Linked DNA regions of Kluyveromyces lactis. The protein of the gene in region 1 binds, or shares a complex with, the protein of each later gene. Links are inferred from orthologs where the notes say so. Each region holds a gene or a part of one and is shown on either strand. Other genes may lie near its edges.

Region 1 (5,316 bases):
TGGTAGAGGTAAGAGCATCTGCCATTGATAAAGCTCGCAGTTCGAAGAAAGTTGGTTTGATACTTGGCGCGTTAGGTAGACAAGGTAATCTAGCAACAGTTGAAAATCTCGAAACTAAGCTCAAGGCTTCCGGAAGGACTGTAGTAAAGATTATTCTCAGCGAGATTTTCCCACAAAAGCTTGCAATGTTTGATGATATCGATGCCTTTGTTCAAGTTGCCTGCCCAAGGTTGTCCATTGATTGGGGGTATGCTTTCAATAAACCATTACTAACACCGTACGAAACTAACGTGATGCTTGAAAACGACCGGATGTTCAATGAGAAATATTACCCGATGGATTATTATCATATTAACGGATATGGTAGAGGTAAGGTCCCAAACCATGACGACGTAACTATCTAAGTAAATGCATTAATTATATCGAATTACAATCTGGGACATCACATTTGTTTATTTAATTATTTATCTTCAACACCTAGTAGGGTGGAAACTTCGTTAGTCGTAAAGTTTAATGTCGACATTATCATTTCTTCGTCTTCCGGATATATTTTGTTCAAAACGCTTTTGAACACTTTATAGAATTTGATAAAATTTCCGAAACAGGTGGACACAATGTCCTCTTCAACCGCTGGTGGCATCAAATTGAATAATTTTACATCTTGAAAATCAGAAACTGCTAATGGAAGATAGGTGTTCAATTTTTCGTGGATATTGTCGTGAATAACTGCTAATTTCATGATTGGGTTCTCAACCGCCGAAAGATACATGTCGTAATCAAGCTCATCTTGCACAGAAATAATTGGGAAAATCATGTTGAAGAGATTAAAGTACAATTCCATACCCGTTGATTCGAACAGATAGCTATTCATTGTTTCCTTTAACTTGGTAACGCATAATGTATACTGCGTTTCCAGTTTCGAAAAGACGCTTTTGCCGTAATCAGATGAAAAAATGGTGCTGTGAAAGGGACCTAGTTTTGATTTCACGAGATCAAAACTATTAATCTGTACGATAAGTAAATCAATTCTGGCTGACTTTTCCTTTTTAGCTGTGGGGAACCAATTCTGCAAATTCAATACTAAGTTATTATTAATGGGGTCTAAAATCAGCTTATCATACAAATCATCTGTTAATATTCTTGTTTCGTTTTGCTGCTCCAATTTGTTCAAAAGTTGAGAAAGTTTGGACAAATAATCTACAAACCAGTCTGGTGGAAGTAGATCGGCAGCCGCAATTTGATTTTTATCCAAGTCCTTGAGATATGATGTAACACTTGAAACAATTTTGGATCTTGCGAGATTTTCCAGATCATTGAGACTAGTCATTAATTGACTGGATTCATTGATACCATTTTTTACGAGCATCATTTGGTATAAACTCAAACACTGAACGATGTCTAGATTTAGCATCGGGTTATTTTCAAATCGGACAATTTGTTCTAACCTTATTCTGATTGTATTCGCCAATGAGGTAAATATTTCGTTGAGAAGCTTCAGGTGCAAGTCACCAATGAAATCCATATTATCTTTCAAAACTGAGTCGGACGTTACTAATTCTGACTTTAGCTTGAAAGTTGATTTCAAAAATTCTAGTTCGTTAACAATCATGGAGTGCACGTAAGCTAGGACATCACCAAGATATCTGACAGGGTCATGGGCCGATAGTATAATAGGTCTTTGTAACTTTTTATTATCTATATCAAATTGAGACAAAAAGTCGTCTAATAACCTTTTAGACCTTAACCCCACAATTCTGTTCAAGAAATCTTGAAAGAATTGAACGTCATTTGATAAATGAATCAAGCTCGTTTGGAAGTTAGAGAGAGATTCATCGCCAATAGTACGTTCGCCGTACTGCCTTGATAAAGTATCATATTCTTCAATGAAGTTTATGAGATAATTATATATCCGTTTGTTCGATACCGTTAAATTATTATTCATCGTTTTTAATAGTGCCACGCCAGCAGATGTGGTCTTCTCATTGGAGAGTAGATATGTTGCTTTTTCTTTGATAAAGTTGATTTTATTCAGAATCTGAAAGAAGAGGTCATTAATTGTTCCATTCTGTAAATGATCCAGTTCTAATTGCGTTAAAGTCAAGGAATCCCTTAATTTAATTATTACCTGACGTCTTGCCTTCAATTGATCAAGTCTATCTTTGACATGTTCGAATTCAAAATCTATGGATTCCGTTGTATCTTTAAAATTCTGCATAGCATTGTTAATTCTTTCCAAGGGTCCAGAAAGTCTTTTGATTCTTCTTGCAATAGACTGAAAGTTACTCAAAATATCCGAATGGGAGTTGAGCATTGAATTCTCAAGCTTTGAGCGAAGTGATTTTCTGTTTAAAGTTCCAACGAAATCAGAGGCAACCAGTTGGTTGAAGTTAAGTCCCAAATCAGAGTGATTTGCATCAAGGATTTGAAGAGCTCGTTTTGTTTCTGAATCAGATGTGTAACTCGCATAATTGGGAACATTCAATAAGCTGTTAATCTTCTTGGATAAAAGTTGGTTTGTAGTTGTAGGTTTCTCGATGTTATTTGATATAGGAGCTGCGACCTCCTTCGATAAAGAGACGGACGCAGGGCGTATTTCACCGAGGGAAATGCTGGCAAAATGTTTCATCTTGCTGTGAAGATCGGTAAACTCGGTGTCATGCTTGCTGACATTCGGTAGAACGAATTTGGCCTCTTGTTCATCGTCATTCAATCTCAAGCTTGCCAACGAAAGACGTGACGCTGGTTGAGGTAATGCAGCAGACTCGTCCACTACCAGTGCCGGAAAATCTAGAAAGTCCATTACAGATATGAGATCTGCTATTTATAATTGAGTGCAATGATTAGTTAGTATGTCAGAATCCTGATTTCGCGAGTAGTTTAATGTCTCTTTAATACAATTTGTATGACTTTCTATTTCGAAAAATGAAAGATTTAGGTTTTTCGTATTTATTGAATCGGTTTATATATGGTATGTGTGTAATTGAGTATTGTACAATTCAAAACATAAACAAAGTAAAGATTATTATTGTTTGAATCTACCACCAGTGGAGACTACGTACCTAATTAAAATAAGGGACAATAAGCATCTATAGTATGAATGAAAAAAAGTGAGGTATTCTTCAATATCAGAACCTGGTTCTAACAAAGAATAGAATAAAGTAATTTAAGTTGAAAAGGCCACTGTCACGATAAGGTCAGCCTTGTTGAAAACAATGCGTGCGCCGTTTTTCGTTCATGATATTCTTGATTTGAATATTATCTTTTTGGGTCATCTAAGTATGAGTTTCTTATATCATCAAACAAATACTGTATTGGCGGTAAAGTGACATCAGAAGATTTTCTTCTTTCTTCAGCAGCTGGATTCTGCTGAACTATTCCGGTCCATGATTGCGAACGATAGTGACGATTTTGCAGATGGATTTGAGGAACAATCGACGGGTGTCTATATTCATTCCAGGAAGATCTGCGAGAAATATTTAGAAGATCTTGAGCAGTATTCAAGCTATCTCTTTCATCGCTAGTGAGAGTTGAGATGGAATTTGTTGACTTTGGAGAGATTGAAGCAGTGAGGGACGGCGAAATTTCTGTTCTTTGTGAATACCAGTATTCACATTTCTCAGGAAAATCGGGACCAAACAATGGGACTAGTAGATATCTCAAGGGGTAGCAAAATCTCGAACACAACTCTTTAGAAACAGGATATGGCAACCAAGTCCCTTGAATCTTGATATATCCTCCTCTAATTCTCTTCACCATACGTTCAAAGGGAATTTTTGCATCATAGGATTGACCCAATAGCGTTGATAATGTAGGGTTCAACTTATGCCAATGCAAATCGATATAAGTTGAGAAGGATTCTCTTTGAAACCATTTGTTCCATTTTTGTTGGGAGTCTTTTTTACTTGGTTTGTCCAGTTTACCGTATATGACTTGGAACAAGACTTTCTGCAATTCTTTACAACAATGGATGCGGGCAGATTGGTCTTGTTGATATTGTCTATTCGTGGTGCATAAGCATTTCATGATATCTTGGTACAATCTCCAAATACCAGTGAAAAACACATACCCCGTTTCACAATTCCAAATTATGCAATTGTTTGGATTTATGATCAGTGTTTGGTTAATCTTGGCGTTCAATTTAATCATTCTAAATTCTTGATTTTTTGTAATGTTAGAACCTGGTTTATTGGACAGGTTTATAGCAGTCCTCAACTCACGGTCAGAAGAAGATAAATCATCAGGAAAACATGGTTGGTTTGGATCAGTGTCTTCTTGTTCGTCTTCTAATGAAAGAATGTTGTATGGAGTTAATTGCAAATACGGCTGAAAATGAGGGTCAAAAGTCCGTTGTGTCACCGGGTTTCTTGATATATCCGGAATGATATATTCGTTACAAATTAAACTGGTAGATTTTTTCAACTTTCCCAGGCTGCCCGACTTATTACGATGATTCTGTCGCCTTTCGTTGGTATATTTTCCATTATTCTCTTGGCCCAAGGTATGAGATCCTTCCTCATTTATATCACCACTGGATTGCGATTCGAATGATTCAAAAACTGTATTTGTCTTGTATTCCTTCCGGTCGATAGATAACTGTGACTTCAAAGCATGGGGAAATTGCGCCAAACTGGGTCGCATTAGTTCATACACTTCTACAAATAGATATCTTTGGTAATCATCCAACGGATCTGGAGACAACTGAAATGTAGTTCCATCGGTTGGGTATACCCCATATTGATCATTCCCAACAACAGATGGCATGGTGCAATTGTCTATCGAAAGTTGATTATATCAATCGCACCCAGGGCAAGCTAGAAACAAAATATAATTAGGTTGTGGTCAGAACACTAAAGAATCGCAGAAACCAAAAATTAATCTGACAAGGTCAAATTGCAGTCAGTTGTCGTGTCTTTTTTTTTATATTTGATAGTCCTTTATTCACTGTCAATAACACTCTCCAGAAATATAATAGCTGTCTGAAGTGGTAATGATTTTGAGATGAGACAAAAAAAATTCAATATGAAAATAAGGATCCAAGACACTCAATGTGAAAATTAGGGGGATGGTCAATATTGAATATCTGTTTTCCTTCAGATGCCGAATGGTATCACGAAATACCGACAAAAAAAAGGTTGCACTTCACAACTATAGGGATCGGTAGAAAATCTCGAGATTGTGGAACGGCTTTTTCTTAAAAAAAAATTTTCCTGCGTATTTGCCTGAAAAAGAATACGTCCCGTAATTGGATAGGTGCGGCCTTGCGGAGTATTTTTCTCGTCTGTACTTCCTACGTTTGCAATGGTTTAGTCACGAAGC
Region 2 (4,862 bases), on another chromosome or scaffold:
AGTTGTTGCTGTTACTGGTGATGGTACAAACGATGCCCCTGCTCTAAAGTTGGCCGATGTCGGATTTTCAATGGGTATATCTGGTACAGAAGTGGCCAGAGAAGCATCTGATATTATCTTAATGACAGATGATTTCACCGCTATTGTTAATGCAATTAAGTGGGGTAGATGTGTTTCTGTGTCCATAAAGAAGTTCATCCAATTCCAGCTTACCGTTAACATTACAGCAGTTATCTTAACATTTGTTTCTGCTGTCGCCTCGGCAGAAGAAACTTCTGTGTTGACTGCAGTTCAGTTGTTGTGGGTCAATTTGATTATGGACACTTTGGCTGCCTTAGCTCTTGCAACGGATAAGCCTGACGAGTTTATCTTAGATAGAAAGCCAAAGGGCAGAGATGCTCCCTTAATTGCTGTATCGACATGGAAAATGATTCTGGGTCAAGCTGCTCTACAGCTTACTGTGACATTTGTACTACATTTCCGTGGTAAAGAAATATTCTTCCCAAATAAGAGAACAATCACTGCACATGAACAGGAACAGCTTAACGCAATGACTTTTAACACTTTTGTCTGGTTACAATTTTTCAAGTTGATTGTCACAAGAAAACTTGATGAAGCTGATGGTATCTCAAAGTTCAAGGACAGGTTAACAGCAAACAACTTGAACTTTTTCCAGCATTTGTTCAGAAATTACTACTTCATCTGTATTGCCTTGTTGATCGGAGGGTTCCAGATCTTAATCATGTTTGTTGGTGGTGCCGCCTTTTCTATTGCTAGACAAACTCCTGCTATGTGGGCAACAGCTATAATTTGCGGTCTTATATCACTTCCCGTTGGTCTGTTCATTAGAGCTTGCCCAGATGAATGGGCCTTAGCAATCTTCCCAAGAAGGTTAGTACGTGCAATCTTGTATGTCTTTGGGCTGGAGTTCATCTTCAAAAGAAATAAAAACAAAAAGCAGCATGATGAGGACGAGGAAGCATCACTTTTGGTTGAATATGCCAATGACTCTAGCTTAGTGGAATCTACGGCTTTTCAGCGGGCCAAATCTGATATGATCAGCCATAAGGTGCATCCACCTACTTCGGAGCCCTCTAAATACAATCCTATCACAGCAATCAACAGATGGAGAAGCTCAAGTGGTGATGAAAATGAATCAGAAGAAGAACATTCATTCATCGCCTCAGTGACTATGGTACCCACTTTAGTTGGTGGTGCTGTTGGTGGTTTTTCTCATATTACGGGACCTAATGAAAATAAGAAACAATAATTCTGCTGAGACCTGAATTATTGCGTAAAGATACGTTTCAAAGGGCTATAATATAATGGCATAACGCTGAATCAGTTTTCGGCTAAGTATTACATCTATTACATACTATATGTGTATCCTTTAAAGACATCGTATTTTCATTCTGAAGATGAGTATTGCTTTGCTTTTGATGTAATGAATTATTCAATCGTTCAACGATCACAATTATATAGAACAACTTTCGCGGTCACATATAAAAATCATAACTCATCTAGTGTATCCTTACTATTTAGATAATTATCCTTCTCCTTCTGAATAGCTTGTGCAAATTCTGTGTATGGGATATAGAACTTTTGAAGTCCCTTCAAAACAGTTTTCAACTCGATAAATGCGTCTATCTTCTTCAACAAATCGGTTGCATCGTTCTGAGGTTTCTTTAATGTAATGATAATGGTCTCCTGTAACGTCAATAATGCAAGTTTAAAGTCATCTAACGAAATATGCTGTAGTTTTTCTTGATCATCTTGGATTGAAATATCCATTATGGTCTTTAATAGATCAAATGATCTCTTAACAGTTACCAGATGCTCTTTAGCTGCTGTAAGCTTTGATAAGGTTTCAGTTACCTCATTACTGTCTTCATATTTAGAATTCAGCTCTTCTAATTGTTTATCAATAGCTTTAACGTCTGTCTCTAATAAGTTCACACTATTCGCTAGAGTATCCAAATAATACTCTAGTTTTGTTGTTCCTTGCTGTTCCTCATTTGCTGCGTATATAATAAGTTCAGCAGGCTTCTGAAGCACCTGAATAGTGGACTCAAGTTCTTTTGTAATATGCCCACTGTAATAGTCCATTTTTGAAAGTAGACTAGAGCAATTGGTCTTCAATTCTTCTAATTGGCTTGTCTGGAAAGATGATAACAATATGTCGACGAATGCTTGAGGTACAAAATCATCATCGAAAAACATGTCTAGCAAAGGGTCATTAGCACCAGATATCCTTCTACTCATCGTGTAGGAAATTATAGTGCTATATCGTCCTTCAAAGGTGATTTGGTGGCTTACTTGGGTGTTTCATGATCATCATATTTAGAGGTAGAAGGTTAACTTCTTCATTTTGATGTTAAGATTTCAAGATGATTTTTGGTGCCTTCAGATGCACAGTAAGAAAGGTTTAAAAGAGAAGGATACAATATCAAAGCAGATATTACTATACACATTGATGAGAGCAACGTATGGATAATTTATTGGACTATATATGGGTATAATTCTATTTACAATTCTATTGCTTCTCTTTTAGACTGGACGACAAATCAGTATTTCAATAGCATACCATTTTTTCCGACGCACCAAACATTTTGATGTGATTCATCAACACAGAAATCAGTCACTTCATCATAAGGACGAATTAGATGTGTAAGCTTATTGAAATTGAATTTCCCGTCCAAAACAGGTACATTGAAAGCAAATTGGACCCCACTAGAAACGTTCAACGTGTTATGTGCCAAGAATAATCTTGAGATAGAATCATTATCATTTACCTGGAGCGTCTCCACCGGTTTGGAAACGTTACGAGTATCCCATGATACTATCGTACCATCCGAATAGCCAGCAAATAGGTAATGGTCATCACCTGCAATGTGCTGGCTCGTTAGAGTGACACATGCAGATTTACTTGCCGGTAAAATATCCAATATCTTCTTTCTGTTATAGATATCATGAAACGTGATGATACCAGAGTCGTGTCCAGCAAATACAGCTTTCCCCTCAGTATTGTATTCGTTGCTATGGTCCAATGCATTGTACGATGTGGTCGCTGGATTTCCCTGGTAATTGGCCAATGAAATACAATTTATGCCATCGTTTGAATTGAGCGTAAAGACACATGCTGAAGTTGAGCATTCCCATAGTTTTAATGATCCATCCGAACTTGCAGAGACGAAGTTTCTACCTCTATCGACCATGGCAAAATCGTTGACTGACCGAGTATGACCTATGAAAGTTCTGAGCTCAGTACCGGTTGAAGCATCCCAAATCTTCAAGCGCATATCGATACTACTGCTTAAGAATCCATGGCCGTTAGGGAAAAATTGGGTCTTGGTGATGTGACTAGCGTGCGCTTCCGGTAACTTTATCACTTCTTGTAATGGACCGCTATAATTGGTACCGGTGTTCTTCCGTAGCACATATATGCCACCATTCGTATCACCACAAACCAAACGTATCTCGGGGTCAAACACGTTCGTGATATCTATACTTGTTAAATCAACAGCTCCAATATCAGAAGGCAGTTGGAACCGTTTTTTCGGACTTTGAAACGAAGCTAAATGTCCTGCTGTCGCATCAGGTCCTGTCAATTCATATAAATGTGGCCTTACCCTTTGAAAGGAAATTTTATCAGAAGTATTCGCATTATGAAACCCAACATTACCCCTGGAATCTAACCGTACATCAAATTCCAAATCGTATAATGGCTCACCACTGCTCCTGGATACCCATATCTTATCGCTGGCAACCTTTTCTCCTCTCACATCATCAAGAATATCATCAAACTCACTGCAAATGTTCCATTCCTCAACTCTCATTATATTTAACTAAGGGAAAATAACAGGAAGGTATACAGTAAAACGGGCAAATTGTTTGGACAGTTGATATCCACAGGAAACCTGCTGACATTATTGCTCAAAATCCATAAATCAGAAATCCACTGCTGGTGTTTAAGTTGTTCATCATCAATGAAGGTAATACGTACCTGATGCTCAAAAAACCCAAAGTCACGTGAATAACCACCTGAAAGATAGTCATGTGATACTCACGTGTAAGACGCGTAAACGCGAAAGCAATTTCCTCGATTTTATCCCTTTTATTTTGGTTCAACGAAAAATTTTCGAATTTCCGCAGAGTATATAAAGGCGAACTGTAAATAAACAACGCCATCTCAGGGTCAGTTATAGATTAGCTACAGGTGAAACCCAGGCCAAGTCGAGTCAAGTAACGGATTTGTTCTGCTATTTGTCTTTAAAATAGGTAGAAGAAGATGGGTGTTCAACTATTGGAAGGTGATTTATTGGATATTTTCCGTATTCCGGAGAGGTACAACAATCCTACCGGCGGTATTTACCAGGTTGTTCAAACCAAGAAGACTGAGACTAATGCTAAAAAGAATTTGATTCTCATCAACGATGGAAAATACCATGTCAAGGCTCTTTTGAGGAACAAAGCTGCAGAGGCGGCTCAACAGGCAGAATTAGAAAGAGGGGATGTTTTCAAAGTGTTGAACGCGGAATGCGCAGTGATCAAAGAGAAGAAGAAGTTTGTGTTGTTAGTAGATGAGATAGAGATTGTTAGCCGTGGGTTAGATTTGTTTAATAATGCTACAGAATTTGTCGATGCTTATTTGGGTGAACATATGAATGAGTTGGTGACTTTGACTGATAACGGGGCCGTAGCATCCGAGGCTGCATCGGCAGCTGCGTCTGCTACATCGTCTATGACTTCTAAGATGGCTCCTACCAGTACCAGCAACATTCCAGCCCCACAACCACGTTCTGTGCCCAAGGCAAAATCGAATAATGGGTCATCCCAAAATTCAAGGCCTATTTTTGCCATTG
Region 3 (4,770 bases), on another chromosome or scaffold:
TTGGCCCAAAAGAACTCTAGCCTGTGCAACATGCTGCTTTTGTAATTGATTACGATCATTGAGATCCTGAAAACCTAGTAGTCTAATTGGAATAGTATTATTACCAGGTTTACTCATGAGCGCTTGATCCCAATCATCCTGCGAGATTGATAATGGTTTATTATACAACATAGCTTCAGTTTCCGTACATTTATTGTAAACAAACGTCTTAAGTTTTGATCTTTGCTCACTTGGCACCCATGATTCCTTACACTTTAGAATTTGTTCTTGGATTTGTTGCGGATAATTAGATATTTGTTGCTGTTGCTGTTGTTGCTGAATTTGTAGCTGTTGTTGTGGTTGCTGAACCGACGGCAACTGTTGCTGGGGCTGTACTTGTTGTTGTGTGTTAGACCATGCAAATGACGGTTGCATTGTAGTAGATGGCGTTGAACCAAACAAGGATGCCCCCCCTGGTTGTTGACCTTGCTGGCCCTGTTGTTGCTGTTGCTGCTGTGATTGTGTTTGATTTTGGCCAAAGAGAGATGTAGTAGCTGGCGCAACAGGCTTGGATCCAAATAGTCCTCCAGTAGTGCCGCTATTAGAAGTGTTATTGCCAAAAAGTCCGCCTGTGGATTGGCCCCCAGTTCTGTTTCCACCGAAAAGACCTCCAGAAGTAGCGCTGGTATTTGTATTTCCGGAATTACCAAACAGTCCACCCGAACTTCCTGTGTTCGCATTATTATTACCAAACAATCCACCTCCAGTGGGATTTCCTTGGATACCAGTGGTGGACTGCTGTGTGTTATTAAACAATCCACCTGCCGGTTTGGACCCAAACAAACCTCCACTGGTTGGGGCAGTATTATTCTGCTGTATTCCTGTAGAGTTTGCATTGCCGAACAACCCAGTATTGGTATTATTCTGCTGATTGGATTGGCCGAACAACCCGCCTGTTCCTCCCGCGGCAGAGTTCGTGTTGCCAAACAAACCCCCAGTAGAAGGTTTCTGCTGTTGCTGTGTACTTCCGAACAGACCTCCTCCAGTGTTTGATGTATTACCTATCGAGTTGTTATTCTGTCCGAACAAGCTACCAGCACCACCAGGCTGCTGCTGTGGCTGTTGTTGTTGTTGTTGACCGCCAAACTGGAACCCTGTGTTTCCAGCAGCAGGTTTGTTACCAAATAAACCGCCGCCATTGTTCATTGAACTATTTCCCGAATTCACTGCACCAAACATGGCTAATTGATGACAGAAAATTGAACCTTATCGATATTCACAGTGTTCTGTTAGTACGCTGGCCCTGCTATATTGTCAGTTCGTTCTTATAGATTTAATGTTAGTTGTGATGTTTGTTGATGCTTTTGTTGTGAAGAACTGAAAAATTCAAGATCGTTCATTATGATGAGATGAGGCTCAAAGTCAGAGATGTTATACACATTTACGTAAGGATACTCATAGCGTAGACTCGCTTCCACCTAGGGGGTGGAATCTCACTTTATTTGAATTGGGTTCGCATTTATCATATATTTAAGTTTTTATGGTTTGAGTTTGCTGGTTCTGCTTCTCGAGAACGGGTTTAATTAAAGGCTTTGCGGTCTCGAGAATACTTTTAAAGTCGTTTCTCATTCGAGTAATTAGGGTGGAATCATTGTCTTCCAAATGTCTAAATCTGTAGTCACAACGTATTAGTATAGTAGAGAGCTGCTTTGCCACTGTGAAGGAAAGCTCGTCGTCGATATTCAGCTGCACCATAGACTGTAAGGATGATACAAGTTGCTGGCATATCTTTAGCGATTCTGATAGCTTTGTGATATCGTCCAGTTTACCAAATAGGTTATCAAGCGATTTTAGGTAGGATAATGCTGTTACTGTTTTTTCTCTAGTTTCAGCCACTGAGGAATCACAAAGTTGGAGTAATTGCTTGTTGAACTGTTGTAGATCATTCAAGACTTGTTTTAACTTATTCAACACCTCGTTATTGTCACTAGTATTAAACCTGTCACATATTTCCATGTACTCGGGATAATTGTCATTGATTTCATCCAGTATAGTTTGTTCCATTGATTGCTTCAAGGCAGATACTTCATATGAGAGTTCGTCTAACGATACGTATTGGAAGTTATTCTCAAGTAATAGCTTATCTATATCTAAGCAGCCATTCTTCCGTACAAAATTGGAAACTAACTCTCTGCTTAGTTCTTTAGTTACTGGTAGATCCAAATCATCATTTAGGTCGGTCATCGCTGGGTGAGAGTAGTTTCACACAGTACTTTCCCTCTCTTTTCGCTCTTGTTCCGTTTTTCTGGTAATGATCGTTCGAATATAAGGATCGATTCGTACCTTTAAATATCTTGAACGCTGAATAGAATTGATAGTTAGAAAAATACATGTATATAACAAGGGCAAAGACCGATACATGTGTTTGAATGGGTAGTTTTCGGAACACACTTACTAAACTGATGGTGCAATACAGATGAATAAGGGTGATATGATTACTGCGCATCACGTGACTAATTTTCCTTAAGATAAGTAAATCTATAATCAAGAATGTTTAGATACTTTTGGTCCAATACCTCATCCTTACCTTGTGGCAATTGCATGCACTGCACTGTCACTACTATAACAGTGTCAACTAATACTTGATGGTGCTAGTTCTGTGTTTCATTTCTGTCTTCTTAGCTAACGTGTATTTTTAACAGAAAAAACGCGTCTTGGTGATTTAACAAGTAGAAGATGAGACACAACTTGCTTGAAATCTATAAGATGCACTGAAAAAAGCTCAGTTCTCAGTATATTAGTGAATAGTTTCCTTCAGACATACCCAGAAACATCCAATGGCAATTAAACTAACTGAAAATAGGGTATTTGTTGCTGGTGGGAACACCCAGGCACGGTTGAGTAGTGACAGTTCTCGACTTTTCACTTTAAATAAGAACGCATTGGTGAAAGTTCTTAATTTAACTGATCTTGAGAAGGAACCTGATATCATTGATATTTGTGAAGAACCAAGCGCATTTGTTTTGAGTCAAAATTCAGCTGATGGTTTATATGTTGTTTCCCGCAATGGCGACCTATACTGGTACAATGTACTGGAAAACAAGAACAAGTTATGCTTTAGATCCTCGTTACCATTGCGTGATTTGGCCTTAGTTCATGATGATAAAGTATGTGTTGTAGGTGGGGATGATTTAGAAATGACATTGGTTGCATTAGAAGAGGGAAATTCAAACGTTAAATTAACTTTGGACGAACAACTGGTTAGTTTATCATACAACAAACAAAATAACATTCTAGCAGTATCACTCAGTAACGGTAACGTTGTATTCTACTCTTTAAGTTCTACTACACCCAATAGAATCCACACATTGCATGATCAGCTACCTAAGATATTCTTCAATGATGATCTACCAGCGGACACTGAGAATAATACTGAAAACGCCGATTCAGTCGCTATAGATGGACTTGATCCTATGCTATGCGAAGATAACAGAACATGCACTAGAGTTGCATGGACCAATAAAGGAGACCAATATGCAATTCCAGCAAAAGATAGTGTCATTAAGTTATTTAAATTATCAGATCATGATTTGGTGACCTCGTTCAAGCCAAGTGTGCACGTTAACAACTGGGACGCACTTACAATAGACCAAATTCATTCAAACACAATCGCTGCAGTCGGTAATTCCAACCAAAATTCTCATCTATTTATTTGGAATTTAAGTACTGGTACACAGCTTGTTCACGAAAGCTTTAGGTATAGTATCACTTCTTTGTCTTGGAGAGTAAACGATCAGAGAACCAAACTTAGCTTGGTAGCAGGTACTTGGTCGGGCGATGTTATCACGTTCAATGACATTGTTTCAGTAAATACTACAGTTGCTTATTCAAATACCGGTGGTAAGCTTTTTGTTGGCTCTGATGATGAAAAGTTATTTGACGATAGTGACATAGATGATTTATCTAAACAAACAAGCAACGGTCCTGAGTTCTACGAGCCTTCCAAGAATGATAATAACAGAAGATCGAAATATGAAAACAACGACAAAGCTGATGACAAAGGTGAGGTTAGTGAAGATATAAACTCTGACAACCTTTTCACAGATGCAGAAATGGATCAACATGAACCTAAGCGTACATACAATTTCGAGAATGAAGATGATTTTATTGAGGATGATAATGGCGAGGCCGCACAATATAAGAGACCAAAAACTCATGTTCAATCAATTCCTTCTTTGACAGCTAATCATGTAAATCATCGCAGAATTTACCAACCACCAGCTCAATTCCAATACCGACCATTTTCAACAGGCGCGACACCTTTCGGGAATAGCGATAAAAGATACCTTACTATAAACCAACTAGGTCATGTATGGACAACAAGAAATGAAGGCGGTAGCAATTCTATAACGGTCTCTTTTTTCGATGTTAGTCGATTCCGTGAGTATCATTTCGACGATTTATTCAAATATGACCTTTGTTCACTGACCGATGAAGGTATACTATTGGGCCAGTCGAAGATGGGTCAAATTCAATACAAGCCACATAGTCCCTCTGGAGATTCATGGACTAAAAAGATTCCCTTACTTTCCAAAGAAAGAGTTACTTCAATTGCCTGTACTCCTAAACGTGTAATTGTAGGAACATCTCTCGGATATCTTCGTACTTATAACGATTTTGGGTTACCACTGGCAATAGAAAAAATGTCACCTATTGTTGCTTTGTCTGCTCATGAGTACAAAGTGTTCACCATTCATTACTCACAATATCATGGTATTACTTACTCGATGT

The links.
Region 2: COG6 (region 1) and COG7 share a complex: the UniProt entries of both Saccharomyces cerevisiae proteins name them as parts of the conserved oligomeric Golgi (COG or Sec34/Sec35) complex. The link is inferred for Kluyveromyces lactis from reciprocal best matches to the Saccharomyces cerevisiae genes COG6 and COG7.
Region 3: COG6 (region 1) and COG2 share a complex: the UniProt entries of both Saccharomyces cerevisiae proteins name them as parts of the conserved oligomeric Golgi (COG or Sec34/Sec35) complex. The link is inferred for Kluyveromyces lactis from reciprocal best matches to the Saccharomyces cerevisiae genes COG6 and COG2.

Annotation. Positions count from the first base shown.
Region 1 is NC_006042.1:375,455-380,770, forward strand, and holds COG6 (Golgi transport complex subunit COG6), read right to left. Parts: upstream 2,801-5,316; coding exon 461-2,800; downstream 1-460. Other genes in the region: DPH1 (2-(3-amino-3-carboxypropyl)histidine synthase), read left to right, coding at 1-404; XBP1 (Xbp1p), read right to left, coding at 3,256-4,761. UniProt on the Saccharomyces cerevisiae protein: Acts as a component of the peripheral membrane COG complex that is involved in intra-Golgi protein trafficking.
Region 2 is NC_006037.1:775,934-780,795, reverse strand, and holds COG7 (Golgi transport complex subunit COG7), read right to left. Parts: upstream 2,263-4,862; coding exon 1,510-2,262; downstream 1-1,509. Other genes in the region: calcium-transporting ATPase PMC1, read left to right, coding at 1-1,270; RPN14 (Rpn14p), read right to left, coding at 2,565-3,836; replication factor A subunit protein RFA1, read left to right, coding at 4,289-4,862. UniProt on the Saccharomyces cerevisiae protein: Acts as a component of the peripheral membrane COG complex that is involved in intra-Golgi protein trafficking.
Region 3 is NC_006038.1:973,705-978,474, reverse strand, and holds COG2 (Golgi transport complex subunit COG2), read right to left. Parts: upstream 2,224-4,770; coding exon 1,510-2,223; downstream 1-1,509. Other genes in the region: FG-nucleoporin NUP57, read right to left, coding at 1-1,218; chromatin-binding protein CTF4, read left to right, coding at 2,817-4,770. UniProt on the Saccharomyces cerevisiae protein: Acts as a component of the peripheral membrane COG complex that is involved in intra-Golgi protein trafficking.